Lonchura striata: one gene and its partners. The protein of the gene in region 3 purifies or fractionates together with the protein of the main gene of each other region. This does not show direct contact. Links are inferred from orthologs where the notes say so. Each region holds a gene or a part of one and is shown on either strand. Other genes may lie near its edges. The genes, in order: CDK5RAP2, PRKAR2A and AKAP9.

Region 1 (10,148 bases), on a different chromosome or scaffold from region 3:
ATCCCATCCCATAATTCATAGTGTAATTCTTTGGGGAAAATTGCTTATCACTTTTAACCTTCCTTGAAGGAGTAAGTTAGTTGATGGTTTCATTAAAGAAAGGAGTCTCCCTCTAAATTTTTTTAAGAGAGGAAGTATAAAACATTCATTCAAATAAGACTCATGTCCCCTACCAGATGCTTTCAGCAAATGGAAATCTAATATGTTACAGAGCTACTAATAAAATATTTATGTAGGCTTTTCCAGAACACTACAGTGCTATTTGTAAAAATTATTAGCAATACAATTTCCAAAATACTTGGCTTGTGAAACCCAGGATTACTTTCTGTAACTGCACTCAGAACCTGCATCTGCAAACAACTGTTCAGTTTAATAATCCCTGCCCAGAAAGCTGCTTTGACATTATTCACAGAAGGGAAAATCATCAGAGCAATTGAAAATCCTACATAAAATTTGTGGCTCACTCCCATACCCTGAAGCAACCTGTCAGTAAATCATTCCCAACACTCCCTGCTCATTCAGAAAAAGTCCAAGTGACAAAAACACTCTGAAGTTGTACCAGCTAAACTTCTAATTAGTCTCCCTACATTCAATATATTTCTGAGTCAAAAGGAGAAAATAATTTCAAAAGAATTTAGTATTTCACAACTCTTGTTACATGTATTTCAGTGGCACCAGAGATAAACCAAAGTGCTTAAGGGTAATATTTTCAAAAGGCAAATGAAACAGACGATGCAATCATAAACCAAGGAGTGAAACAAATGTCATCTCTGATGTTCAGCTTCTTGGATGAATGTTAGAGCATACAGACAATTTATAAGTTATTGCTTAATGAAAGAAAACATATAAAATGTGAGAAAGCTCACACTGCAAAAAGATTTTAAAAACAACCCTCTGAACTTATGCATTTGAAGACTCAGTCTTAATTCCTTTATGCATTTTGATTTCTGTATTTAAACAAAAGGAATGAAAACCAAGACAATTATATACATCCTGCACAAAATATTCCACAGCATGAACAGCATGGCAGCAAATCCTAGCTCAGATGAGCTCTGTTCCAAGCCTGCATGGAGCCAGTTTTGTTCAAAAGGGATTTGTCAGCAGTGGCTGAGGTTTCACAGCACAACAGTTTTCAACTATAAAGGCTGTTTTAGATTTACAGTAAAACTCTAAGAAGGATTGGAGAGACAAGGAAGAATCCCACAAATACTATTAGCCAGCTCCCTTAAGTGATACCCATGAACACCTCATTACCCATAACAAGGTCCTCCTCAGAGATGCTTTTCACTTTGCCCATGTAATCATATTTTCTATAACAGAATGGTTACCTCCATATTGCAACAAAGTGGGACTCCATAAATAATTCAAAAATCTGCACCTCCAACATTGCACAGCTCAGCACCTGCTCCAGGTATAAACATTAAAGGACCTTTCCTACATGGATCCACTTTTTAGCCCATTTAAGGGTCATTACATCCATCCTGTTCTCTCTGAGCTATGAGGTCAGAGCTCATTCTTTTCATTACATCCTACTTATAGCCTATAGGAATAACAGAGTTATAGAAATAAGTTTACTGTGTTTAATGTATATTCTTCTTCCTTCATGTCAGTGGATCTTTGAGCTTCATTACACTACTGGCATCCAGAGTTTACATCCCAGGGGAAGTTTTACAGCTCAGTTTACCATGAGGGGTCTGAGCATAGCAGGATGCCAGACCTGTGGGGAGGCCCCTGCTCTACATCACACAGGACACACAGCAACAGATTTTTCCTTCTTTCTGCAACTTCTTGTTCCCGTGCCCAGGAACCCTGCAGACAGTAAAACACTAGCAAAATGTATATTCTGGACAGGGGTCTTTGGCACACATCACAGTAAAAGATTTTAAGCACATAGCAATGCCAAGGCAGTGTCTGTCTACCCCAGCCAACACACAGAAACAAGAGAGAAAGGGAAATAGATACAGACTGCAAAAAAACATCCTTTTCACCAAAGGCTTTCCAAAACAAGCTTTACATTCTGAGCAAAGAGCAGAGCTTTCTTCTCAGAGGTCATGTAAGGCCATAAGAAACTGAAAGAGTTTGTAAGAAACGCTCATTTCAAACACAGCATTGCCACAAAAGGTAGCAGCAGCAGCACACTGAAACTGCAGACTCTTGGCACAGCCCAAAGGCAGCAGTCACAGCTTTTATCTCTAGCAATCATCTCAGAGATTTCAGACTGCCTTCCCCTCTACAGCTTCTTCACACAACAATAAATACCTTAAAAGTTTTTCACTCTAGTCCTTAACTGGGAAGTTGTCCTGCAACACAGCCCAATCAAACCATCCAGCAGACATAAACAACTGTCTTATTCAATTTTAAAAGCCTGTATAGTTAACATATTTTTAAAAATCTAATGTTTTCCCTTATATTCTAGTAAGTGCCAAAATACTTTTATCTACAAAACTGTCACAATGATACTGGACTTCTACAACACAAGCATTCCAAGCACACTCATGCTATGACGTTAAAAGGCATTATATTAAAGTCAATGAATTAAAAAGCCAAATCCCACACTAACCTAAATGAAAATAAACTTGATGCTTCCCTGAAATAAATCAGCAACAGATGTGCAAACCAAGTTCTGATGTTTCTGAGCTGCAGGAACTTCTGAGCAGAGGGTGCCAATTTTGTTTCACAACTTCAGCACAGCAGTTGGCCACTCTGAGCAACAAATTCCTACCTCAGTTTTTGAAAGCAGCACATAAAAATGGAGGTTCAAGGAATGGACAGGGACATTCACCTGGTCACACCTCCAAAAGATGTGTATCAACTGACACAAACTAAGAGTCAACACATCAGCCAGCACGTTGGAAATATCTTGGCTATCAATTTGTCACTGAGTCTTACATTAAAAGTTCTGCTTACATTTTCATAATCCTTCATGGTCCGAGCTCGAGCTGGTGAGACTGTGTCTTCTGCCACATCTGGTACCACTAGACATTAAGTAGACAGAACAAGTTCAGACAGCAGAATCTCTCTAAGTAGGGCTTCAATTTGGCAAAGGTCTACACTAATCTAAACACAACAAAACCTTTAGGGAAGTGACAGAGTCGCTGCTTGGCCCCCTGTTTACATTACGTGCCAGTATCTACATTCCTTTCTGATCACAGAAAGCTGTCTATCACATAAACTCCCAAATTCCATTACCCACCTAAATGATGATGCACACTGGAATTCGGCTGTGTGAGGTGCGCTGTCAAGAATAAACCCTCACAGCAAGAACTGGGAGATGCACAGCGCGCAGCTTCCCGAGCCCTGAGCAGAATGTGACCGAGCAGCGCGGCCCCGCTGGATATTCCAAGTATTTTAAGTACACGCCGCACAAAACCGCTGATCATCTTATATAAGGCTGAAAGCCCTCATGACCACAGGCAGCGAGCACACAGCAGTGACGGCAGCAGCTGTCGTGTTAAAAACTCTTAAATTACGTTAAAAAGCGCATCACTTAAAACCTTTTTTTTTTTTTTTTCGTTTTTGCCGCCAGTTTGAGTTCCTTTTTGCCGCAGGTTTGGGGAGCAGCGCGAAGCACCGAGCCGGGCAGGGAGGGATGCGCGGGCTGCGGCCGCGACCAGCCTTACCTTGTCGGCCGGGCGGGCCGGGCGGGGGGTCCCCGCGGGAGATGTCCGGGAGCTGCAGGGCGCTGGGGAAGAAGGAGGAGAGCGCTGAGAGCACAACCCCGCGGGCTCGCCCCCCTCACCCCATCGGCGGCCGGGCCCGCCACACGCACCGCGCTGCCCCGCCCGCAGCTCCCCCGTACCTGCCCTCGAACGCCAGCGGCAGCGTCGGGTCCTCGCCCGGCAGCGAATCCATGGACGGGCCCCGCGGCTGCCGCGGCTCCCGCCGCCTTTGTGCGCGGCTTTGGCGGCTTCCCTGGAATTCAAACGCCCGCAATCGCTTCCGCCATCTTCGCGTCGAGCGCGCTGAAGCCGCCGCGGGGCGCGCGGGGGGCGGGCGCAATGGGAACGCAACGGGAGCCGCCCTGTTTGATGAGGGCAGCGGCCATGTCGGCTGAGGGCAGAGCGGGGCGGCCGCTGCGGGCAGAGCGGGGCGGCCACTGCGGGCAGAGCGGCCGCTGCGGGTAGAGCCGGGCGGCCGCTGAGGGCAGAGCGGGGCGGCTGCTGAGGGCAGAGCGGCCGCTGAGGGCAGAGCCGGGCGGCCGCTGAGGGCAGGGCAGAGCGGCCGCTGAGGGCAGGGCGGCCGGGCGCTGTGAGGGACGGAGCCCCGCGCTGACCGCCTGAGGGGACGGGGCGCCCGAGGCGGCGCGCAGCGAGCGGGGAGCGGGTGATCCCCGCCGCTGCCCGGGCCCTGCTCCATTACCGCACCCATTTGGAAGGGAGGCACCAGGCGCCGGCTCCTGCCGAGCCTGGCAGAGCCGCTGGAGCTGGTGTTCACCGCGTTCCCCGCTGCGCAAAGCCGTCACTGGGCTTGGCGGAAGAAATAAACACGCGTTAGTTCCACGTTCTGGTCACTGCTCATCGCAATCGGCCTGCTGCAGGCAGCTGCTGACATCGTCCGCACGGGCGGGTTCTGAATCATCTGGGAATTTTTTTGATGAAGCAAAGTTGTAAGCGTGTCGGCTGTCCCCCTTTTTGTGGGAGAAAATGCCACCGCATTCGATATTTCTGAACATCGAGCTGAACGGGATAAAACGCTGCTGTTGTGGCCCCTCCTGCGCGGGGCATGGCCTGGGTAACAGCGCCGGTCACAGGTGGAGCTCCGGACCCTGCTTGCTCTGCATCCTTTGCCTTCCTTAAATTCATTTAGAACCCGTGTGCAGGATTGAAATACCCCCGGCGATATTTACATGATCACAGAGTCACAGAATTATTTAGGCTGGAAAAGACCCCTGAGATACGGAATCCAACCTTTGACTAATCCCTGCCTTGTCAGCCAGCCCAGCGCACTGAGTGCCATGTCCAGTCGTTCCCTGGACACCTCCAAGGACAGTGATTCTATCACCTCTCTAGGCAGCCCCTTCATAATGTCTAATCACCCATTTTGTGAAGAAATTTCTCCTGATGTCCAACCTGAACCTTGCCCCTACAGCTTGAAGCCGTTCCCTATTGTCCCTATTGTTCCCTGGAGCAGTGCCCGACCCCCCTGGCTGTCCCCTCCTGTCAGGAGCTGTGCAGAGCCACCAGGTCTCCCCTGAGCCTCCTTTTCTCCAGGCTGAGCCCCTTCCCAGCTCCCTCAGCCTCTCCTGGGGCTCCAGCCCCTTCCCTGGACACGCTCCAGCTCCTCAAGGTCTTTCTGCTCACAAGGGGCCCAGAACTGGACACAGCACTTGTGGAACCTCACCCGTGCTCAGCACAGGGGACAATCACTGCCCTGCATCTGTGGCACACTATTGCTGGTATAAACCAGGAGCCATTGGCCTTCTTGCCCACCTGGGCACTTGTTCAGCCATGTCAAACAGCACTCCCAGGTCATTTTCTACTGGGCTGCCTTCCAGCCACTGCCCCAGAGTGCATCAAGAATCAAGTGGGACTCAAGTCCCTCATGCTGGGACTTGCTCTTAGCATTCTCTGTAACACAAGGAAGCACAGGAGTGACCCTGTGCATTAGATTTGGTTTCCTCTTTTGGATTTGGTTTCCTCTTTTGTACCAACTCAGGTCAGGTTTCACTCACTTTCCTTTAGACTATCTCAAGGGGACTCTTACCCAGCCAGGAATTAGGCCACGGATAAGGGCTGACCACAGGCCATGAATTCTGTGAGCTCATTATTCCCAGTTCTGTGAGTTTATTATTCCCAGTTGGCCTGGTGCCCTGTGAACTTCACTTCCTCCATGTACCTGCACTGTTTACATTGGCACTCACCTGTCAAATGCCCCAGACTGGTGGGAGCAGCCACTGCAGCTCTGGATGTGTATGGTCATGATGGGCTTCCCATCCCTGCTTAATTCTTTCAGCTTCATGTGTACAAGTGCCTGACGGAGCTGCAGCAAAGTCCCAAACTGCCAGAAGTGCCAGGCACTACTTAGCACAAGTAAAGCTCTTCAGCCCATCTCCTGTCCAACTGGACAAGCCTCATGCTTTGCATTTGGGGTCTGATGACCCCAAGGGATGTTTAGTCCCTTCAAGTCCCCGTGAGAGACCTCAAGAGACACTGGTCACCTTATGTGACTGAAACCCTTTTGCAGTGGCCTCTGCCAAGCTGAAATTAAGTTCACAAAATCAGGTCTGCCATATGGCACCAGGATCTGATCAGCCAGGCTGAAATGTGGGTTTTCCTCATTTACAGAGCAGATCTTCATAAAATGAGTAAGTCCACTCACTTGAAAGGATAATACCAATTTGTTTAATCTTGTTTAAGGTTTCAGCGAGGTGTTACATATTTGATGTGGGTTTTTAAATCAGCATCCATCAGCCACAAGTGCAGGGTAAATTACTCTGCACACAGAGCACACAAGTCTGCAGAGTCACAGCTCACACACATGTCCAACACACTGTAGTCAAAATAAAATCAGCAGGGCCCTCCTTGTGAAGTTCATTACTTCATGAAGTGGCTGTCTGATGGACAAAGATAAGGATATATAGACATACATCCCTGCCTATCTTCCCTGGAAGTGCTCAGGGGCAAGGTGGCTTGGAGCAACCTGCTCTAGTGGAAGGTGTCCCTGCCCATGGCAGGAGGGGAAATGAGATGGCCTTTTAGGTCCTTTCCAACCCAAACCATTCTGTGGTCCTATGATTCCATGTATACACACAGCCAGGATGGAAAATTTCCCTGGGAAATTTCCTGCACTGCCCCATGTTTTACAACCCGCAGTAGCATCAGGAAGCTGCAAGGGGCAGAAAGGACTGGGAAATGTGTTGTTTAGAAGTAGTTAACAACATGCCTTCAGATAATCTGCTTAGTGTTGTTTAACCTTAAATTCATTAGCAGCACATTTGGGGAGATTACACTAAACCCTCACACCAGGAAGCTTTGTTGGAACTTTCTTTCTTCTCAAGGCAGCCTGAGATCCTTCCCACCTCAGGCAAAGTCCTAAAGGGAGTCTGGGAAAGGATTTCTGGGCAGTGCAGTGTAGGGCTGAGCTGAGCAGGACGGGAGCCAGCTGCTGGCTGTGCTGGCACAAGGAGGGCTGATGTCACCACCAGCTGAGCACGGGTCCCCTCACCCTGCTCTTCTCACTCCCTGCTCTGGGGACCTGGTTCAGACTCAGTTCTGCCTCCTCCTCACACCATTCACAGCAAGATTCTTCCTAAGTTAGGTCATGCACGATCCAACCGCTCTGCTAATGCAAATCTCAATAAACTCCCTTGAATTTCACCAGTGTGGCCCTTACTTACACAGCCCAGTCAAACCTCTGCATGAACACTTAAAAACACATGCTCGATCAGTGTATGAAGCCTTACCTCTCCAAGTTCTTTGCTTAACAAGAATTGTAGAGTCACACAGAGCTTTCACCAAAAAAGAGCCTTTAGCAGTCGTTTGCAAAACAAAATCAATTTCCTAACTCTGCCAAGTGAGAAGGAAATGCAAGTTTTCCACAGGCCTCTCTGCAAACACTCCCAGAACTGATGCCACAGATGTGGATTTCAGAATATTTGTAAGAAAAATGGCCTTTGAAAGACATCTGTGGTCATGGGGAAAAGTCTGATACAATATCCTCATCCCATTTCCAGCTTTGCTCTGAGGGTTTTGTTGCTAGTGATTCACATCTCTGACAAAATGTGTCCATGTGAATGATACAGAAAACAGTGGGAAAACAGTGATTGCCTGTGGAGCTCCCAAACACAGCTGAGGGCTGGGATTGTTCATAGCAGACACAAGAGATCAGAGGGTTCATTTTTCAGTTGGATTTTCTGACACAGAATGTCAACTGTGCTTATGAATATCTGTGATAGAAAACATTTTTGTGCCTTGGTTCTCATCTCGCATACAGGGGCATAATGAAGAAATAATTCTCTTGGAACAAATGTTATTACTGGGATGAGATTGGATTCAATCCTTTCTGTCACTGGGAAGACTCTTGCTGAAATTCAATGAACAAAAACACGAATGCAAAAATCCAAGTGGCATAGATACAAATTATATACATTTATTTTTATTCATTTTAAATAACATTCTTCTGTATAAATTCTGACATATATTCAAATCATACACTTTTTTTTTTCTTTTTAGAAATGCATTTGTAAGCATAGCATATGCTTGGGAGACGCCGTATTTGGATGTAGAGTGAGACTGATGGGTTTCAGATGGGAGCAAGTAAAACTTTTAAGGCCCACATTTTTCTTATTTTAATCCATTCCTCTGACACATAAAGAGCAGAGTCCTGTGGGAGCTCAATCTAAATTTCACTTCAAAGAGAAAACTATTTTTATATCCTTTATTTAAAGGAGACTGCAAACTTTCTGCCACATTTACATTGCCTGTAACATTGAAGAGGATGATTCTGCACAGCAGTGGTTAACTGGCCCAGGATACCTGAAGGATGTTGGATATATCCCCTCCTCTTTCCTAAATGCCTGCTAAGTTTGCTCAGCCTGGTCCAAAGGAATTATCATTCCAGTGGCTGACATCTCCTGAAGCTCCCCAGGGCTAGTGCTCCTCGTAGCTATTTCCAGCTACAGTGGTCCACGAGATTGGACAGCATCTCTCCTCATTAGCCCAACTTTTCTGCACGTGTGTTGCACTCCAAGTGCTCCCCAAGCTGAGAGCCCTGCAAGCTGCCCCGAGCCCTGCCCCACCCCAGCCCTGTGCCCTTCATCTGCTCCTTCTGTCCCTTTGCCTTTACTGCCAGGCTGGACTTGCCCCAGCCTGACCAGCTGGGCCCTCACCCTGCCAAGAGCTGCCTGGAGCTGCTTTCCCACATCCACCAGCCCCCCTGCCCTGTCACAGCTCCCCTCTGCTCTGCAGCCCCGTCCCATGCCATGAGTGCCCTTCTCTGTGCCAGCCCAGCACTGCAGCTGGCCAGCATTCCCAGGCAGAATGTGCTACAGGTATCTATCAGGAGCACCACATGTACCTGGATTGCCACCTCAGCCCCACAAGTCACCAAGATGCCCTGCCCTGGCCTCACTGCTGCTCAGCTGGGCCTCAGAACAGCCCTGAGAGTCCATTTCTGGTTTACCTGCCCTCACCCCCCCCAGGACAAACCTCAGCACCTGGGGAGCCTCGCGACAAGCGATGACACACATCATGGTGCTGGTGGCCTCAGCACCCTGGCACAAGTTTGAGCTCTGCCACCCCTCCAGGTACAGCCCAGCCCAAGGTGACTGGAGACAGAAAGAGCTCAGCTTCTTTCTCCCCTCCTGTGGTGCCAGGGGACTGGTAACACCACGGGCGATCTGATCTCACATCACCAAAGTCAAACATGAAGGTCTTTATTCTTTCCTTGCTGAGGTATTGATCTCCTTTTATTACTGTTGTTCCTCTGTGCCAATGCCTGGGTGGCAGGAGGTGGCTGCTGTGTCATTTTGCCATTTGACAAGCACGGTGCCAGTGCCACATCCTCACTGTGCTCCCTGTTCAGGAACATCCTGTGCCATCCAAATCTGGGCAGCCAGGTCCTCCCGCCCAGTTCCCATCGCGTTTTCCAGGCTGTCTCCATCCCTTTATCCAGCTGTGCAATCCACAGGCAGCAGCTGTCTCACCCTGCAGGGCATCCTGACTCCTCCTCTTCCCAAACACAAAGTTTTTGGATTACTTTGGAGGTCAGAAGGAGCCCAGGTGCCAACACCTCCTGTGCTGTGGCAGGCAGGGACTAGGAGGGCTCAGCACCTGAGCCCACGCTCTGCTTGAGCAGATGGTCTCAATTTCTACAGTAAGACAAAATCCAAGCCTCTTCCTGTTACAAAGCAGCCCACAGTCACAGCAAAATTTAAGGAAGAGGTGTTTTGTGGCAGAGATTAAAAAATCTGCTAAAGTATTTTAGAAACATTAAAGTGAACAACCTGTCCTTCGATATGCTGGCTAGCATCAGTCCAGAAGCCCAACACTTACTAAATTACCTTCCCTCACGCCATGAAGTGACCAAGTGCAAGTGTATTGCTAGATCAGCACCTCTAAATAATTATAACTTCCAGGAAATTTTCTGTTTCGTCACCATCCTGCTCTTTAGAAGTTTGATGAGTAACTCGAGGATTAGCAATATCCAGA
Region 2 (9,868 bases), on a different chromosome or scaffold from region 3:
TGTTAGTTATACTTCATACCCCCAAAAACACATAAAGGTGGTTTTATTGTTACAAAAATTAAGACAAAGCAGGAAGTTCACAGTGCAGCACTTTGCACCTTAGTGCAACTGCCCCAAAGGACAGGGAAGCAGAGCCTCTGCCCTCCTTCAGGTGTGCTCTGCAACAGGAGGTTTCCCAAAGCAGTAATCCAAACAGTGAACAGACCATTTCTGTGGCATTCATTTCAGTCTTAACACATCCATTCAGAGCCTGCTTGTTAGAAGTACAAGCGTCATGGTCAAGGACCCACTTTAAGAATAAATATCAGTCCTTGGTTACGTTCTCAGGCTGATTTTTGAAAGTCTTGCTTTGCACCTTTCCCAACGCTCCCAACATCCTCAATTTTGCAGTTATACCAAACAAATAAAGGCTCTGAGGAAAGTGTTGTATCTCTTAAATTATCTGCCACAGCCCAATGGATAACTCTTTCTGGGGGCTCCCCCACAACCACCATCATTTTATTTTCACACATGCCTTACAATGCACTCTGACGAACAGCCACATCCTGACGTCCTTTGATCACATGTACAAGAACAGTTAAAATGAAGGATGAAACTCCAGGGGGGTCAGACAGGAAACATAAACCTGGAAATAATTTCCTAAGTATCACCTAAGAGTGTTCATCCTAAGAGAGAATAAAAGTGGGGTTTTTTTGGGTGGCTTTTTTTTTTTTTTTTTTGTAGCCTAGCTAGTTTCAGTGACTTTTAACACATGGATGGAGTTCCACTATGGCATCACTCTGACTACTTGAAGACATTTGCCACAAAGCTTCCACCAAAGGCCAGGACCTCCTTCTGACTTATTCTTGCTTCTATTACCATATGCACTCAGCATACAAAAAGCCCCACATAACTTATCTGAAATGTTATCTCAGTCTGAGTGTGCAGATGCAGCCTAGCGACACACACAGATTTAATACTGGGCCAGACACACACACACAAAGATAAGCACATTATTTCTAAAGATCTTTCCTACTGCCAACATATACAGTACGGGTAATTATTTAAACTAGCTTTAAGCTTCCTTAACATCATAACTTAGAAAAACAACAGCTCAATTTCATCTTTTTATTTATAAACAGATATGGAAACATGTTTAAAAGATCCATTTGACCTGTCACAGCAACTCAAAGGTAACAAAGCATAACCTAGGAAAGCACAGTGAAATTCACTGAAGTCTTTCCTAAACTGCCTAAGATGGAAAACTGCAGTCTTTATAAATAGCATTCTGGTCCATCCAATGGGATTATTGGAGTCTCTCATTTCCCTATCTCCACATCTTCTTTAAATACTAAGTAGATATAAGCACCCAGGATCTTGTCTTCCACAAGGCACAAGTACTGTCCTACTTATGACAATGATCAGGTATCAGAACCTCTAATTTAAAATTTTTCATTGATAGAGACAACATTAAAACAGAAATCTAATTAACACATAGCCATGGTTGACTGTCATTGTTAACCAATGCAAGAAAGAATAATTTTCCTGACCCTCCAGAGGGATCCTCACCTGCTGCCACAGAGAACATGGCACTGTTCCTGGGAAACCACAAGGGGGGAACAGCATGGGTTTACAGATAGGAAGCAAAACAGCATTACTGACAGTGGCACTTGCACAAAGGGCTCTACTACAAGAAGTGACAGTGCCCAGCCTTGTTAATTTAATTTTCTCTCTGACTAAGATAGAAAGATGATAAGCAGAAACATGAAGCAATGGAACCACCCTTCTGCTTAGGACAGCCTCGCTGTGTAAAGTTGCATTTGAAAAGCTGTAGGGCACCATTAAATTTTTATGTCTTTATCTGGAAACATTTAACTTCAGAGGATCCCTCCAGCTGCAGCTGCAACATTCAGAAAGAAAATTTTACACTTACTTCCCTAAAGATAGTATTTCAAACCCCAAATTGAGGTAAACTGATCACAAAATAGCCAAACTGCACCCAAAGACATTAGACTTTCTGGTGGAGTGGTTTTTTTTTGTTTGGTTCTGTTAGCTGGGATTTTTTTGGGGGGTTTGGGCTCCATTTTTTTTAAGGAAAATATTAAATACAAAGACATTGTACATTTTTAAGAATTACATTGAACTATCTACTGAATTTTTTCCAATGTGAAGTTTAATTTTAAAATATATTCTGCAAGAAACTTTAACTTCTTTGAAAATACTGCTGACGTGGTTGCAGGGCAAAAAATCAGTTGTAGTTTCCATAAATCTGTGTTCATATTTGAACATTCCCTTAAATTCAATTCAGTCACCACCAGTGCCCACATCTTCACCCTTCACCTTTCATCCATTCTTCTTCCTGCCCTAAACAGAACTTCTCTTTCATGAAGAAGGACATCCAAACCCAGACACCAATTGCAAACTGGTTTTCAATTCATTCTGACTCTACATTTCATTCCTGTCCTCTCGCACATTCCATGTCCTGTGTGTCTATTTTCAAGAGTTTAAGATACATTTCACTTTTTAAAGTTCCCAGCCTAAAAGTGCCGCAAAAAAACCCAAAAAATAGCTGGTGTCTCAATGCTTCCTTAATAAAAACAATTATTTGTTCCATAGCTTAATTTCTTCCTGTTACTCTAAAACTGTTAACCAGGGAGTAGATGTTAAGAGCACACTGCATCCACAAGGTGACATCCAGTAATTGGTCTAAAAGAGGATCCTCTATCAATAAAAGTCAGAAACCTTTACGTTATAGGTCAAGGGCACAAGACCTTCAAACGAGGGCACGGAAAGTTCAGGGAAAGCACGCCTTTTCTCACCTTTCCCTCCCCTTTAAGTTACCTTCCAATAATGAGAAAGTATTCCTTCCAAAAAATTCTGGGTGTGCCAAGTACCACCATTCACATGCATTTTAAATAACTTCTAACCCTGAGGCTCAATTACAAACACTCTGCATAGCCTAAAACACACAGTATAATTCTGACCGAATAAAAAATTTCAGTATCACATCGCATTTCATTGTCCAGATCCGATTAAGTATCTTTCCCACCATCAAGACTAGTATGAACAGCAATATACAAGTGGCTTTGAATTTTAATATGCTGCTAAACAGCGAAAGTTGTTTCAGTGCGTTTTAATAGCCACTTTAAATACACAACAGCGGCAATAAACCACCCCGCTTTCCGCGAAAAAATCCCAACCACTCCGGTCCACAATGATTTAAAGACAGAAAGGTAAAGATAAGTACACAAGAGGTTGCACAATAACACATGATCTTCCCTATCACATGCTTGGCAGCGCGCTCGCTGCCCGGCGATCCCCGGTCAGACCCCGGGGCACTCCGGCCGCCCGGGGCAGCGCCGGACACTCGGGCCCAGGGGTCGGGGCCAGGCGGGGCTCCCGGAGCACGCCGGCAGCGCACGGGGAGCGGCGCGGGGCTGCGGGAGCCGGCGCAGCCTGTCCCCCATTCAATCCCTCCTCGCTGCCCGCCCTGCCCAGGGCACGGCGGGGAGGCGGCCCTGGCTGCAGCCCCCGGCCGGACCCCGCGCCCCGGCGCCCGCACTTACGCTCGAAGTCGGAGTCGGACTCGTCGTCACCGCGGTCGGGCTCCTCGTCGCCGTTGGACTCGGTCTGCATGGGCTCCCCGTCGAAGCTGACCACCCTGCGGCCGCCGCCCGCCTCCTGGTCGCGGGCATCCCGCAGGCGGGCGAAGTACTCGGCGGCGAAGCCCAGCAGGTCGGACGGCCGGTGCCGCAGCACCTCCACCGTGTAGCCCTGCAGCAGCTCGGTGAGGCCCGGCGGGATCTCGATGCTCATGGTGCCGGACACCCGGGAGGCCCCCTCGCCTCCCTGCCTGCCTCCCTCCCTCCGTCCGCCCCTCCCCGCGACCGCGGCCGGCGGTGCCGCTGGCGGTGGCGGTGCGGGCTCGGGGCCTCCCAGACGGGCGCGGACCGACTCCCGCCGCTCCGGTCACACGAGCCGCGGGGCGCGGAGGGGAGGGACGGGACGGGGCGGGAGCGGCCCCGCGGCGCAGGCGCGGAGCGGGCGCGGGAGCGGGCGCGGGGCCGCGGCCGCGCGTGCGCGGGGCCGGGGGCGGGGGGGGCTCGTGCGTCACCGCGGGGCGCGGCGGGGCCGGGGCGGGAGCGGGGGAGGCTGGGACGGGACGGGACGGGACGGGACGGGACGGGACGGGACGGGACGGGACGGGACGGGACGGGTCGGGTCGGGTCACTGGGTGCGCGCCTGGATGGTTCCGCTCTCCGGAGAGCTGATGGGCGCCCGCCGTTCCGCGCCCGCCGGAGCCGCTGAAGCCCGGTCCCGGCGGGCTGGGCCGGTGGGAGCGGTGTTGGGAAACCTCCGGGCCAAAGCTGGCGGCGGGATGCCGGGAGGGAAGGAGGTCAGGCCGGCGCCTCCTCGCCGTAGCTGCTGCGGTTTTGCTTTTCTCTGATTTCGCATCAGTGACCCCGTACACTCATTTCTCGTCAGAATCACAGAACAATTAGGTTGGAAAAGACCTCTGAGATCACAGAGTACAGCCTTTGACCAAACACCGTCGTGTCTAGACCGTGACACTGAGTGCCACGTCCTTTCTTTAATCCTTAAACACGTTCAAGGACGGTGACTCCACCACCTCCCTGGGCAGCCTGTTCCAATATCTAGTCATCCTTTCTGTGAAAGAATTCCACCTAATGTCCAGCCTAAACCTCCCCTGGCACAGCTTGAGGCCATGTCCTCTTGTCCTTTTGTGGGTGTCATGAGAGAAAAGACCGATCCCCACCTGGCTACACTCTCAGGTACATCTAGAGAACAATAAGATCCCTCTCGAGCTTCCTTCTCTCTATGCTAAACACCCCCAGCACCCTCAGCTTCTCCTCACCAGATTTGTGTTCCAGACCCTTCCTCAGCTCCATTCCCTTCTCTGGGCTCAGTCCAGCACCTCAGTGTCCTTCCCGAACTGAGGAGCCCAGAACCAGACACAGCAGTCAAGGTGTGGCATCACCAGTGCCAAGGACAGAGGTTCTCCTTCCCCACATGTGAGCATGTGATGGTGTTTCAAAGCTCCCACAGGAGCAGGAGAACGAGGGTTTTTTGACCTTGGTCAGATCCAATCAAACTTCCATCCAGATCTTGTTTGGAGTTTTATTTAGGACCTATGACCCCCAGGTTCTTGTCAGAATTATGTCATTAGAGAACAATTCTTAAGTTAGTGCAAGGTCTTCACACCTTTTGGTAAACACTGAATAGAGCCATGATATAGTCTGAAAGGGTGGCAATAGTATTGTTCTGATAAGAATAAAGCATTACAGATAAGAATTGCAGTAAAATGAAACACAGAATCATAGAATGGTACGGTTTGGGTTGGAAGGAGCCCTAAAGGTCACCTAGTTCCAAACCCTCTGCCATGGTCTGGAACACCTTCCACTAGACCAGGTTGCTCCAAGCCCCATCCAATCTGGCCTTGAAGGCATGGGGCATCCACAGCTCTGCACGACCTGCACCAGTGCCTCATCACCCACACAACTGCTGATATGTGTGAGATTTGGAGATATCCACTTATATGCCATTAAATGCTCTTTATTCAGATTTTTGCTTGTGTTTGTTGTACAAAACCTGTTATCTGTGTGTACAAGGGAGGTTTGGCAGATGCCCAAGGGCTGCATGGAGTGGAGCCATCAGCCCTTAAGGTTTGACGTTGCTGGGAAGCTCATCTTGGGACAAAATAAACCTGTGCAAACATGACTCAAGGAGAATACGGATGTTGGCTTAGTGACATCGCTGCATGTTGTCAGTGTACATATTTTTATTTAATTCTTCTTTTGTTTCAACAATAAAGCAGCAAAAATCAACTCGTTCTCAAAATATAAAATTTCACTTAGAAGCCCAGAACTGGCTGAGGCGGTGTACTGTGTGTTTTGGTTTTGTTTGCTCGTGTGCCAGAGAATCCCCTCACTCATCCAGATGGCTCTCACTGGATAGAGGCAGCCTGTTCATCGCTGCTGCACCACACCCAGTGCCTCTCCTGGTGGTTCTCACCGAGGGAGGCTGGTTGCAAATCTCATGGCACATAAAAGTGTTCTTTGTAATACAGCTCCCATATTTGCATGTGGAGTAAGATTACATTATGCATCCATATAAAGTGAAAAAAAAAATTTAAAAAGCACAGAAGGTAGATTTGCCACATCTTAGCAATTTATCCAATGATTTTGTATGAAGCTGTTGCTCTTAATTTCTATTATTTTGTACAGCAAGAACAACAGTTGCCCTACTGCCTTTTTCAAAAGATAATTGATACTGATTTTTCATTTGCCATTCCTACCATTACTATCTGTCTGGTGGTCTCAAATATTACAAGAGCACATTTCACTGCTCAATATATGTACTTTAGCTACTGACAAAACTGGTAGAGAGAAAGATTCTGATCAATGAGAGAACTATGGTCAGTTCTCCCACAAAATTAAGATTTCTGATGAGATCTTCCCTTTGCTGGTTGGATGCTGAAGATATTGCTGGTAATGAAGAGGTAAAATGAAATTTTAAAAATTCAGTAAAAATGGTAAAACAAAATAATAGTAACAAGCAATGGCAGGAGGGTTCAAAGGAAGAAAGGGAATGTCTTATTCCAAGGGAATACACTTACTTTTCTTTCCCATTTTTTTACACAGCAGCCAGCCACCTTATAATTGCCTGCTTTTGGCATTAGTCAGCTCTTGTATTAACTTTTAATGTTTGATAATTTTGTGTCATTTGTGTCTGTGAATATAAATCTGGTTATTTATTAGAAAAACAAAGACATGTTAACAGTAAATACTGTTAAGTCTCTGAAGGGCTACATTGTATTGGCCTTCTGATATTTGTATGTCCACACACAACTAATCAGCTTCAGGGGAAAGTAAAGAGCAGAGCTGTTTATTCTCTTCCTGAAGGTCAACGGACAAAATCAAAAGCATCCAAGGTCACACAAAGTGCATTTTCAAGTTGATTTACACCACATTTTATCCTGTTTCCTTATATACCCTTTTTTTTTTTTTGTAAATATCAGAACAGAAGGCACAAATATGCGAGAAGCTTGTCGGCGATCGAGTTAATTGTTACAGTGCCTGCTGTGCATACAGAGAGTGCATCATATGCTTTCTTTCTCCCTGAATTGGCATAACTTTTAAAATTATTACTATAATAAGCATTTACATTAAAAGAATGATAGAAAATAAATTAGAAAATGCACTTGCAGCCTTAATTTTATCCTCTTTATAATAACATTTTTAATTCAGGCAGCATGACCAATGCAATTTTTTTCCTCTGGCTTCATGGCATGTTCAGTACCCAGTATGGAGTTAGATAAGACTTGTGTAGCTGATGAAGTTGGTCCCCACAGTATTCCCATCAAAATATATTTATTTCAGTATATAGTTCTCCTAATAATTTCTTAGTGCTGAAAGCTATTCCCATATATACCACGTGTCTGTGCTCCCAAGTGGTGAAGTCTCTTCCCTTTACTCTGCCTGTTCTATCCAGATCTGTGTGACTTTGATGTGTCATTAGTGAAACTGTTGTGGAGCTTCAGTGCTTGTCCTGCTCAGGCAGGAGCTGCAAAGTTGTCAGCAGAAAAAGCAAAATAGTCTGTGTAGTCTTGCACTGGGGAAAAATAATCAGATTAAACTTCCTGACTGGCTCCTTAAAAAGTAAAATAAATCCTTTTATAATGAGTAATAATTCACTTCTCATAAACCTGTCAGCACCAGCCAGAGCTCAGACACTATATAAACATATGTACATCTTGGATTAATTACACTTCCCTTCAAATTCCATACAAGGATCATGCAAGAAAACACTAAATATTCTGATGGCAGTTATTAGTGAACACAGCCTCACGTTTTCCACATCCCCTGGTGCTGAACCCAGTGACCAAGGTTTGCATAGCAGCAAGTTCCAGAAGTTAAATACCTGTTAGATAAAGCAGCACTTCTTTCTCTAAGATCTGGAGCACTCTTCCCAGATTTACCAAATTCTTCCTGCTCCTGGTATTGCAGGATCTGTCAAATTATGTTTCTGCCTGTGTTTTATTTGCTACTTCGTGATTTTTGTAAACCTCAATCTTATCTCAGCCCTCTCAAAATTAAGATCTGCCAGTCCTACTGGTCTCTCCTCCAAAAGCAGCTGCTTCCCCAGGATGACATGAAATGCTCCTTTCTGTAGCTGCTCAGCTTCTCTGTGCCTTTCATGAGCACTGTGTGCAGTTCTGGTCTCCACATCCCAAAATGTGGGCTCACCCTGGTTTTACACAGCAGAAAAATGATTCTGTCTCATTCTCTAATGCTTTTCCATATCATTATGAACTGAATGTATGCAGTCATCATTTTAAGATATAAAGAGATGAAAAAAATCCCACTTCCCTTGCTCTGTTTCTCCCATGGGTGACCACCCTCATTGTAAAAAAAACATGCTGAGTTTTGCATTTTAAGTTTTCTATGTTTAACATTCAAATGTTTTTCTACCCACTGCTTGCTCCTGTTGCTGCAAACGTGTATAAACATCAAATAACTTTGTGCATAATGTACACAAACCTTCTGAGTTTGTATTTTACCAGGAGTAATAGTAACAAACAAGTGATCCTGGGTTTAACAACCAGGCTGTAGAGATCCTTGAACACCATGTGCAAGATGAAGCTGCTTCTCCTGCCTCTCTGTGGTTCCTTCTCAGGAAAGTGCTAAACCTCAGAAACCAAATTTTGGTGGTCTAACCAGTAGGTTTGCTTGTGACAGTAAGCATGATTTAGTATGTATTTTTGTTAGCCTTTAGAGTGAATAGCTTGAGTACTGTGTATTTCAGCAAATCATATGAGACTATCTATCAACAGTACAAAGACAGGAGAAAAAAAGTCAAGTTTTTTTTTTTTAATAAATGCATATAAATGCTTGTGTCAGCTTGAAATCTGTTACCTTGACACTACCTTTTGTCCATCAGAAATATTTTGGATAATTCTTAGAAAGATGCCTTGCTGCATTTGTTGATAAATGTCAAAGTATCAAGTTGGGAGAAGCATCTGTATAAATTATCCTATTTTCATTTGTGTCATTTAGCTTATGAACACAGAAAACACTGATTCTGTTGGTAACAACTACAAATTTTCAGGCAGTAGAAAATACCAGCCTTAAAATACCTGATTTTGTAAATCATCTGACTTAGATGTAAAAACAAATACTTCTGACTATCATGTCATACTTGTGATGCAAAATGGCACGTGTTTGAATCTAGATAAAAGTAGTATCTGTGACATAAGACGTGTGGGATGACCGTGTTGTTTAAACTACCCTGAGTAACATTATATAGCAGATGTAGAGTTAATGTTACTCTGAGTAACATTATATAGCAGATGTAGAGTTTATGGTTGCCACGTCAGAGGAGCCCTAAGCAACAGCACTGCTGTGTAAACAGGGGATATTCAAATAAGGACTTAGCTGAGCCCTTGGTTCTCTTGCATACAAAGTGGTAGCTGTACCCACTTTGGTTGTACTTTCGTTTCTGGCCCCAGCACTGAAAACATTACATTAAGACCTTCTCCACAGAGGTTGGTATGAATTCTGGGCAGAGGGAACTGGTGGGAGCAGACCTTTCTGTGTGTCTGTGGTAGCCAGTCACTCACTGGGTAGCCCTGATCCTGCTGGAGGGTTATGTTGGCCTTAGAGTACACAGACATCACTACTAAAAAAAGATGGAAGGTTTTCATATTGCTTTGTTTTAAGAGAAGAAGGAAAATTATCTTCCCTGTGATTTGTTCAAAGACTAATCTGAATCTAAACTATCAATTGCTGTTTGTGTTTTCCAGCAGAACCTGTTCAAACACCAGTTTGTTGATGTTGAGGGGTTTGTTGTACAAAGAGCTCTGAAATTG
Region 3 (9,854 bases):
AATTATAAGGAATAGAATCAAATATGCATCCAAAAATATATGTGGAGCTTACAATTAGTCAAACTAGAAGCTGTACAATTCCAGCATTCAGAAAAGAAAGGCACATGTCTCCAGGAGGTCCATGTTACTGTCATAGTTCAAGAGGTCTGTGTTTCAACACCTTTGAATGAGTTATTTTATTGTATTTTCACCAAGATGAAAAATGTTTGGTTTTGGAAACAAGAAAAACACTTTGGTGTGCTCAACTTGATTGTGTCTGATTGAAGCATGCTAGCAAACCCACAATTATTCAAATACTAAGTGAGTGCCTGGATCATGTACATGGAAAGTTTTAGTGTCTGATTTCTTCTGTCACCTCTTATAATAAAATTTACTTTCATTTAGGAAAAAAAAGGCTTGCTGTACAGACATTTGGTGGGACACTGGTTGCAATGGTTAATATAGATTTGCCTAACTTCACAGCTGCAGACAGGGGTTTAAATTACATTTTTTCCTAATTGCTTTTTCTTGTATGGGAACATTTCATTTTCATCCTCAGTGCCTGCTTTTTTCACAGACTTTGGTACTTTCCTTTAGAAATACATATAAGAGAATAGAAATTTTAGCTGTTACACAGGAACTTATTCTAAAATATTCATCAGTTGCCTCATTTAATAATTTTTAATACTGCTATGCCTCACCAGTGATTTCTAAAAGAAAACATGCAAAGAAACAGAAAAAACCCCCAACAACAAAAACACCCATGCTTTTAAAAGCATGTCTTCCTTACATCTCCAGCTCACCTACTTTTTAGCCACCAAGCCTCACAGTTTGTTCTGTAATGGTATCTGTTCTGCTCTGCTTTGAAGGAGAGAACATTTGTCTCTTTCTGAAATACAAGCTGGTCCTAACATAAATAACACACCTAATGCCCCTGTGGCAAAAGTTTTTATAACATGCAGTTGGACTAGCTGAATAAAATAGAACAAGTTCTACCTGAAATTTGTGTTGACTTCTACTTACTAACAGCCAAGTAACATAAATAGGTAATCAGTAATCAGCAGTCTGTGAAATTGGGAACTTTACCTATTTTACGTGAATCACCTGCCTCCTTCAAGCAAGCCAACCAGGCAGCACTCTGGGAGATTCCAGTGCCAAGGCTCAGTGCAGCTGAAGAGTAGAAGGTAAGGGACAGATCTGGCACAACATGCTGTGACAAAGGCACAGGTAAGATAGTCATTAAGCCAACTTCATATTCTTCATGCAAGCTCACACTGAGGTAGAGGCAAATCTGGTTACGATGCACTATGATAGGTATGCACTAAGGCAGTACCATCTGCCATAGAACTCCCACTAGGTTCAGTGGAAGCAAGTGCATGTCCTGGTCAAATAAAACCTCCACCATGGTCATCTCTCAGAGACAGCAGGTCAAGAGCCACAGGAGAACTGCTGGATGTGCTGTGATGGTGATAAAAGACATCCCCCTTTCCCTTGCCATTGTCTCTGATGGGTAATATGATTTGTCTTAAAGTGAGAACACTAGATAGGAACTGCAGGAGGAATGATTTGGATGCTCACATAATCAATCCATTCCACAGATGGGAGAGTTGTGGTGATTGCTATTGACTTTGGTATGCATCAGGCTGCAAAATCTATAAAATACTCCTGCAGACTAGGCCAGCTGAGTAAGCTAGTATCCTGAGGTTGCAGGCAGCTATCTGGTGATCCCCAGCCCCACAGGGACACCTGCAGGGTATGTCCAGCCCTAAGACAGAGAACATTCACTTTTGGATGGGTAAGTAAAGGTGCTGAGTTCTGGTAAAACACAAAGTTAAAATTCTAAAGTAGCTACACAGGTGCTTTGTAATTATAAATTCTGCAAGGCCAAAGACTGTAAACCTGTTCATTTGTAGACAAACCTGCTTATATTATATACTGCATTGACAGCATTTAAATGCAGTATTAGCAAATAATCTAATCATAATAATCTACATAATGAGTGTCATATTTCTTGTGCCTGACCAAGAGTCTTCTCTCTATCACTCTGCTACACATACATATAAGAAGGTCATACCTATTAACAGCAGAATTACTCCTTTACAAATGACATTGACCAAATACAGACATTCAAAACTAAAAAAACAAACAAAACCACAAACAAACAAAACCCCCCCAAAATCACCAAAAAACCAAACCTATAACCTATTTTTTTTTAATTTAAGAATTTTAAGAATTTAAGTTTAAATTTAAAACTAGAAAGTGGCACAATCGTTGTATTGCTGCTAGGAAAATATCTGACTGTTGTCAGGTATTTTTTTCTTACAAGATGGATCAGGGAATCTTATATGATCCATATAGGAGTCTTTCATTCTGATATGTATTTTTGTTGAAGAAAATAAATTAGAGTTAGATAGTATTGTTATTAAGAGGTATTGCTGAAGTTATAACACCTGAGAATATACAATATCTATGCTCCTTTTGTGTTGGAAGAGATTGTATATGCCTGTGATAATTTTTACATTTTTACATATTATTTGTGCTTTACCAGAGGCATGCTGACAGCCCTCTGATTCTGGCTCCAATGGACTGTGTCAGAATTTGAATCTCCTAATCAGAACTTTGTGATTATCACACATGGTCTTTAGGCTTTATCTTTTGGCTTCATAGTCCACTAAAGCACCACAATGAAAGTCACCAGGCATACATTCTCTGAACAGTGAATAAAGGAAACAGAAGAGGTAGGAAGAATGTGGAGTTTCATTGTTAGAGAAAATGCTGTAGATGAAGAAGCCTTTGTCCTTTTCCGCAGACAAACACAACTAAAAATTAGGTCTGATATTTGAAGATGGTTCAGTTCCATTTTACATACAAACATTTTTCAATAATAAATTTAGTTCTAAATAAAAATAATAGATGGCCAAAACAGCAATTCTTCCTGTTTTGTAGAATGTCTGATCTGTATTTCTTATCCTGTTAATCTCTTTCACATCACATATGCTGTCGAAAGCAGTTTACACGTTTAATTTATGTGAATTTAATAAGTGTTAAAGTTATTCAGCTTTCTTTCTTACATTCTTGAGCAAATGAACATTATTAGTCAATCCTGAGAATTAAGCAAACAAGATGAATATCTTCCTGTAACCGAAAGTTTATTTGGCTAACCAAGTTGTGAATTCCAGACAGCTTGCCCTGCATGAATGATAAAATAAGAATTAAAATAGGTGAAGTAGGAAATCATACTGTAAGGGTTTGTTTTTTGGTTTTTTATTTCCCTAGGAGAAAAAGTCCTGTTTTTCCAATGTTGAGAGGATATGGAAATATAATTCCTTGAGATATTTTATCTAGTAGTAATTGCCACATAATTCTATTATTATTTATCAGTATGGTTTTCATTACTTTCATAGTCATGAACTAGGTGTTAAGCTAAAATATAATATAATTACATGGATATAAGTCTGTAAGTAAAAGGAAAATTCAGCTTATCAATTTTTAGCATTAACTCAAGAACCCATTTAATTATAGGATTTGGGATGTTTGTAATTATGTTCTAAATGGGATATTTACTGATAAATTAATAATTTATTTTTAAATCTAAGTGTCATATGTGTGTGAAATTTTACTGACATCTACAGCAGGGGCCTCTAACAGCCAAGAGGAATGTCACTGACACAGAAATGGTGATTTATTTTTCCCTCAGGGGTGTCCAGGACTTTGTAGTTGCTGGGAAAAAAACTTCTATTTGTACAGGCTTTGAGGGGGTACTTCAATTTACTGACTCAGGAACATTTTTTTAAAAAAATGAACTCAAATTTATGTTCCTATAAAAATCTTTCCTCTTTGATTAATTCTTATTTTCACCTGCTGCTTTCCCCTATAACACGATTTTCCTGTAGTGAAATGGCAAAGTCTGAGAACTTTAACTGAAACATATGTCTTGCTTCAAATATGAAACAACAGATAATGCAGACATTTTTCATTCCGTATGATGGATGGTGTTTTCTTTTTACATAAATGGTATACGTTCCTTTTTGACTAAAGGCTGAGAGCATGGTTTTGTAAACACAGGAATGCACATAACCTGTACCTATTAACAAATTATTTCAGACTTTTCCATGAAATGTAATGGAGGAGGAAAGGAAAATCCTTTAAAATGTCGGATTGTAGGTTTAGTTTACTTTGGTAGTAATATGGGTTTTGTTGCTAGGACACCTAATTGATTTTTTTAAAAAACTTGTTCCTGGTCAGTAATACTGTGCAAATACTGTTGTCTTTTGTAATTTTTTTTTTTTGTTTGTTTTTTTGGGCGTATCCTGTCTTTGGTGGAAAATTCAAGCAAGGAAAGAATGTATATAAAGGAACCATGTTCAAAAGATCAGCAAAGCTGAGATCTAAGTTAAATCAGAAAGACTTTGAGTTTTGCATATAGTAAAACAGCATGATTCCAAATGCAGAATAAGGAATCCGTTCACATTGCCGCTCGTACACGTTCCAGGGAAGCCTTTTTTCTTCCTTTGTGTGTAAGCCTGTGCCATCTATCGCACCATCACAAACCGAACCCACCTCAGGGGGAACTGAAAGAAAAAGCACAATAGGACCACGTGATACAAAGTGCAATTCGCCTTTCAAGGCACACATTAAGTAGACTATTAAATTATCTCAGAATATTGCTCTGTATTTGCTGAGGTATAGAAATTGTATGAGCATTTAATAGCCACGTGCCATATTCCCCATTGTGCTTTTAACACGCTTCTTCCAGCCCGTCGGGCACGATGAGTGCATGGTAAGTAATGTTAACATGGGGGGCTACACATCCTTTGTTATCATCCTTACACAGTCTGCGGCACACGCTCGGGAAGCTCGTTGTGCTGCCCAGCCTTAGAGCGAGCTGTAGGATCCCTGCAATTGTGCGAGCCGCGCGCAGGAGCAGGGCAGCACCTGGAAAATCGGAACTGTCAGAATTAGCCCTGTAGCCACGGCACTGGCGGGGCAGCAGAGTTCGGGTGCTGCCCGTTCAGAGCCCTGCGTCGCAGCGCAGCGAGCGCCGGCCCCTCGGCGATGCTGTTCTTTTGTGAGCAGCGGGACCCCCGCCTCTGCCCGCACGGCGCGGGGTGTGGAGGGGGCGTGGAGGGGGTGTGCCCGCCGGCGCCGTCCGCGCCCGCTGCCCCCGGCGCCGCCGCCGCCCTGCAGGGTCAAGCCCGCTCCTCCGGGGGCGGCTCCGGCGGGACTGGGCGGGGGTCGCCGGGGGGCAGAGGCGCGGAAGCGGCCCGGGCTCGGGGAGGAGGGGCCGGCGGCGGCGGGAGGAGGGGCGGGCGGCCGCACGTCACTTTCCCCGGCCGCGTGTTTACGTGGAGCTGAAGATGGCGGCGCCGGTGGCCCCGCCGCGGCAGTTGTCGTCGCTGTGAGGCGGGAGGGGACCGGACCGGACAGCGAGCGTGTGCGCCCCGGCTGAGGGGAGGGCGCGGGGCGAGCCCCTTCTCCTGCTGCCGGTAACACCCTGCTCTCCCGCACAGACGCCATGGAGGACGAGGAGCGGCTGAAGAAGCTGGAGGCTGGGAAAGCCAAGGTAGGAGGAGGAGGCGGTGGCGTGGCGGGGAGACCGCGGGGTGAGGGCGGGGGAGGTTGTCAGCGGGGCCGGGCCGAGCCGCGCGGCGCGGCGGCGGAGCGGGGCTGCGGCAGGGGCTCGGCGCGAGGCCCCGCCGCGAACAAAGCCGCGGGCGGAGGAGGCGCCTGGCGCCGCCCGCCCCGCGCTCCCCCGCCCGCCGCGGGGCCGCGCCGCGCTCCCGGCCGGGCGGTGGGGGCCGGTGCCCGGCGGCACCGCCCCGACACCTGGCCTGCCACAGGTGCCGGTCACGGGGCCGGACGCTGACAGCCCGGACAGCGCCCGCTGCGGCGCCGGACGGAGGAAGAACCCAGGAGGAGGAGGAGAAGGAGCGTTAACCTCATTACCCTTCGCGTCGTGGCGCGAATCCCCTTTACCTCATAAGCCTGGGAAACCCTGTGAACCTGTAAGGAAGTTTATGAAACCGACAGCTGTTCTGAGTGTGGAGCTAATGCTGTGTGAAAGCCTCAGGCGGCCGAGGATTAGCGGTGCCCGTGCCGGCGGGCCGGGAATGCCGTGACTCGCCGCGGGACCCCCCCGGTGCCGCAGCCGCCACCGCCCGGGGCTGTCAGGCGGCTCAGGCGCTGCTCTGCGGGCTAACCCAAGGGTTAGTCGGGGAGCTTGTCATTTTACCTTGAGCGTGGCTCACTACACACTGGCTGCGAAGCATTTCGCCTTCTGGGCAGCAGACCAGACTACACTTCAGGAGGACCTTTTTTTAACTTCAAAGAAAGCTTTGGTGTGGTCAACGAGATAAGCTAATTAATGGCATTCTAGATAAAATTAGCGTTTTGGCGTTAGGTATCATCTATTTCCTTCCTGTAATCATAGCTAAATGATAAGAGTTCAGAAGTTGATCAGTCATTCATGCTGAAGATATACATGTAACTTGGCAGGAGCTAGTAGTTGAGGCAAAATGAAGACAAGCTAAAGATGAAACTATGAAGCATCATTTTCACATCTGATTTATGCAGACTATAGAAAACATATAGTTCATCTGAAAAGTATTGAATAGGTATTTTGCTGTATTAGTAAAAAACTTCTTAACTCAGTGTGTTTCTCTTAACTCAGTGTGTTTGAGTTAAAAATGTCTGTTGGGAAAATCTCGTAGATGGATTTGTATGTTTATATAGAAAAACCTGTTCCTTAAATGCTTAGTGCAAGAGTGGTGTTTGCACACCATTATGTAGTACTCATAAAAGGCTCTGGGAGAAATTAGATCCTGGTGGCAGTACATTGTGTCACAGATTGGCTATTTTTTTTGCAGAAAATTAGTAGTTAATAAAGAAAATGGATGAAGTAAATTTGCCAGTATTATAAAGCACAATTAAGAATTTAGATTTTTCTGCCCATATTGGGCTGGGGTTAACACAGAAAATTAATGACAATTACTGAAAATTGAACCAAAAATTTGCTCTAGCAGGTATTCAGTGGCTTTTTTTCAAACTTCAAGAAAAGACAGGTACACTTTACTAATTTATTCTGTATTTTAAGAGTACTGTTATAACTTTCACAATTGTTCTAGTCTTTTCTGTCTAAAACCTAATGCTGTTCTTGTATTTGTCTGGAGACTTTAGGGTTCTATGCTTTTAAATGTCCCCTGTGACTTAAGTCATTATCACTCTTTAAAGCTATACATGGTTTATGTGAAAAGGGACTATAAAAGCAGTGTGAGTTTTTTCAGATTTTTTTTTTGTGTTCTTTGTTGCCTTTACCCCCTTTTTACATGTGAATGTAGAAATCTGTTGTATAGTGGAGATTAGGTCACAGTCTTTCAGTGACAAATATCACTGATAAAAGCAGAAAATAAGAAATTGTGTTAACAGAGAATGAAAGCAGGAGTTACTCCTGCAGTTGCTTTTCTCTTTTTCAGGCACATTCACAGTGTAATCAGTGCATCTCCTAAAACTGCTTGGCTCCAATGAATTATCTTCTGAAAACCACAGCAACAAGCATCCAGAAAACTTTTGAGCTTTATCACTTGAGAATTATTTAAGTAAAATAGCTGAGAAAATTTGTTTAAGTATATGTGCAAAAAGTGCAATATTGCTATACTGCAGACACCTTAAACCATCCACCTGAAATGACAAACTTTAAATAAGATGTTCCATAAACTGCAGGATTAATGTAGGTGATCGGGAGTCTGGTGAAAGAGCCTAGTAGAGGTCATGAAGGTGGCTGGTACATTGCTAACAGTGGAGTTACTATGCACCATTGAGACCTGGATTCTGGTTTGGTTTGGGTTGGTTTTTTCCTTGTAAAGTTGGCACTGCTGAATCTCAGTGTCTGCTTATTAAACAATATGAACTTGCTTGTAAAGCAGCCATTTGGTTGTTTTCTAATATCAAGTAGGCAAATGTGGTATTTGGTTTTGTGTGAATCTATCTCGAATGGAACTTTGTCTTGATGTCTTCAAGACACTGTCCCCCCACATTGATCTTTTACAGAGAAGTGTATTAAAAGTGGATTTTCTGCAAATTAATTTTCTTCGGAGTCCTTCTTTATTGTTCCTGGAAACGAGAAGCTGCATTCTGAATCTTACCTTGATTGAATGGTGCTAAGTGTATTTAAGCCTGGCAGAATAGGTCTCAATGTGAACACACAGCCTTTGCCAGTACATAATTTGAAAGTGGAATAAAAAGTCTTGATGGAGGCTCACCAATGTTCATGTGTACCTGATGATTCTGGGAGACTACACCCAAGTCTGCATTATGAAGCAGTTTGCACCACATGTTGTTGTTCTGTCTGGTAAAGCCTGCAAAGGCAAGGGTGGCACAAAGTTAAACCCAGGAAATTACACACTCCTTTTTTCAGACCTGTAGTCATTAATTTTCTTTTGCCATGAGGTAAATCTGCTGAATATTAACCCAACTTCTATAAATGTCTGTCTTCCTTCCATTGAAAATGATCTCTCAGTTCCTGTATAGAACTCTCTTCTCCCCCAAATAGGCTGTTTCTTTATCTGATCTCATGATGTCATTATGGAAGCAAGAAGAGTGTTTGTTAGAAAGGCCAGTTAAGGCAAACAGTGTTGACTGTGATGGAAAGTGGAAGGGAGAAGATGTGTACCAGCAACAGAAATATAGATGTAGCCTGAAAGGTTGATCAGTGCCTTAAAACACAGTGACATAAGAAATCCATCAGATGTGTTTTGTGCCTTGCTGAGGAGATTCTGGAATATTGTTGATGGCCTGAGATAGTGAATGTGTAAAAAAGGACAATAGAGGATGGTGGTTGAAGATCTTGATATGGCATACTATGTGCGGATTCCTGTGTGCACCAGTTTGCTTGGAAACTCATCTAACATCAAAGAGGGTACTATTTATGGTAGTTGGATTGGGTATTTTAATTTCATGTATGTATTTAGCAGCTTAGGAACTGGCTTTTCTTATTAGGATGTGGGACTGTCTTGATCAGCTTTCAAAACTACAGAGTTTGCTAGCTTCAGAATAAGACCACGGTGATTGGATTCCCTTGTCAGAAAGTGGCTGAGGGTATTTTGGTGTAAAGCTTTTGAAATTTATAAAAATATTTTAATTTCTGTGCACACAGGCACACATGAAAGGCACAGCTATTATAACTGGCAAAATTGAGATGAAGCTATCAATAGCAGGTTTTATGGAATGATCCATTTTACAGTACTGAAATTTAGTTAGCAAAGTATTTAAATAAGTGTTTAAATTTCTAGTGAGCAAAGGGCCCTCCATAGCTATATGGTTGCTTTTCCCATGGGAGGGGTGAACAAGGGAGAGATGCTAATACACTTTGTAAGTTCTTTTGGGTTGGTCTAGGATTTCAGGTCTGATGTTAGAAATACATAATTAATGTTTTGTTTTTCAAAGCTTTTATGAATGCTTGAAATACATTGTTGCAGTGTTCTAAGAAACTGTGTAATTGTTGGAGAACCTGAAGAAATTAGTGAGTTGGTTTAGTTTAAACCATCAACTTGAGAAGAGAGGTTGTTACTGCTTTTGATCTGTACCAGAAAATTACTGAGCTGATAGAACAGTGATGTCGGTTGCAGAAGCTCTAATGGCTCTGAGTAGACAAGTATTACAGGTTGTATAACTAATTTGGAAAGTTATCTTTGCAAATTTAATAGTCAAAAGAAATAATTGCTTATTTTGTCATCTGGTCATGCATGTAAGTATTTCAGATGGCTGAAGATGAAAATTACATGTATTATTAAAATAGCATTGTCTAAGAGTCTGGGAATGTTTGCTGTTTGCATTGCTGTGTCTTTCTTTTTTGAGGGAAGAAAAAGATTTTCCTCACT

What was found.
Region 1: the proteins of AKAP9 (region 3) and CDK5RAP2 purify together in Homo sapiens (affinity purification with western blotting; 4 studies listed by BioGRID and IntAct, with this or other methods). This does not show direct contact. The link is inferred for Lonchura striata from reciprocal best matches to the Homo sapiens genes AKAP9 and CDK5RAP2.
Region 2: the proteins of AKAP9 (region 3) and PRKAR2A purify together in Homo sapiens (affinity purification with western blotting; 3 studies listed by BioGRID, with this or other methods). This does not show direct contact. The link is inferred for Lonchura striata from reciprocal best matches to the Homo sapiens genes AKAP9 and PRKAR2A.

What each region holds. Positions count from the first base shown.
Region 1 is NC_134624.1:1,083,224-1,093,371, reverse strand, and holds the start of CDK5RAP2 (CDK5 regulatory subunit-associated protein 2), read right to left. Parts: upstream 3,981-10,148; 5' UTR 3,853-3,980; coding exon 3,800-3,852; intron 3,683-3,799; coding exon 3,621-3,682; intron 2,976-3,620; coding exon 2,908-2,975; intron 1-2,907. UniProt on the Homo sapiens protein: Potential regulator of CDK5 activity via its interaction with CDK5R1. Negative regulator of centriole disengagement (licensing) which maintains centriole engagement and cohesion. Involved in regulation of mitotic spindle orientation.
Region 2 is NC_134614.1:15,679,715-15,689,582, reverse strand, and holds the start of PRKAR2A (cAMP-dependent protein kinase type II-alpha regulatory subunit), read right to left. Parts: upstream 3,958-9,868; 5' UTR 3,796-3,957; coding exon 3,546-3,795; intron 1-3,545. UniProt on the Homo sapiens protein: Regulatory subunit of the cAMP-dependent protein kinases involved in cAMP signaling in cells. Type II regulatory chains mediate membrane association by binding to anchoring proteins, including the MAP2 kinase.
Region 3 is NC_134603.1:133,864,539-133,874,392, reverse strand, and holds the start of AKAP9 (A-kinase anchor protein 9), read left to right. Parts: upstream 1-5,279; 5' UTR 5,280-5,494; coding exon 5,495-5,542; intron 5,543-9,854. UniProt on the Homo sapiens protein: Scaffolding protein that assembles several protein kinases and phosphatases on the centrosome and Golgi apparatus. Required to maintain the integrity of the Golgi apparatus. Required for microtubule nucleation at the cis-side of the Golgi apparatus.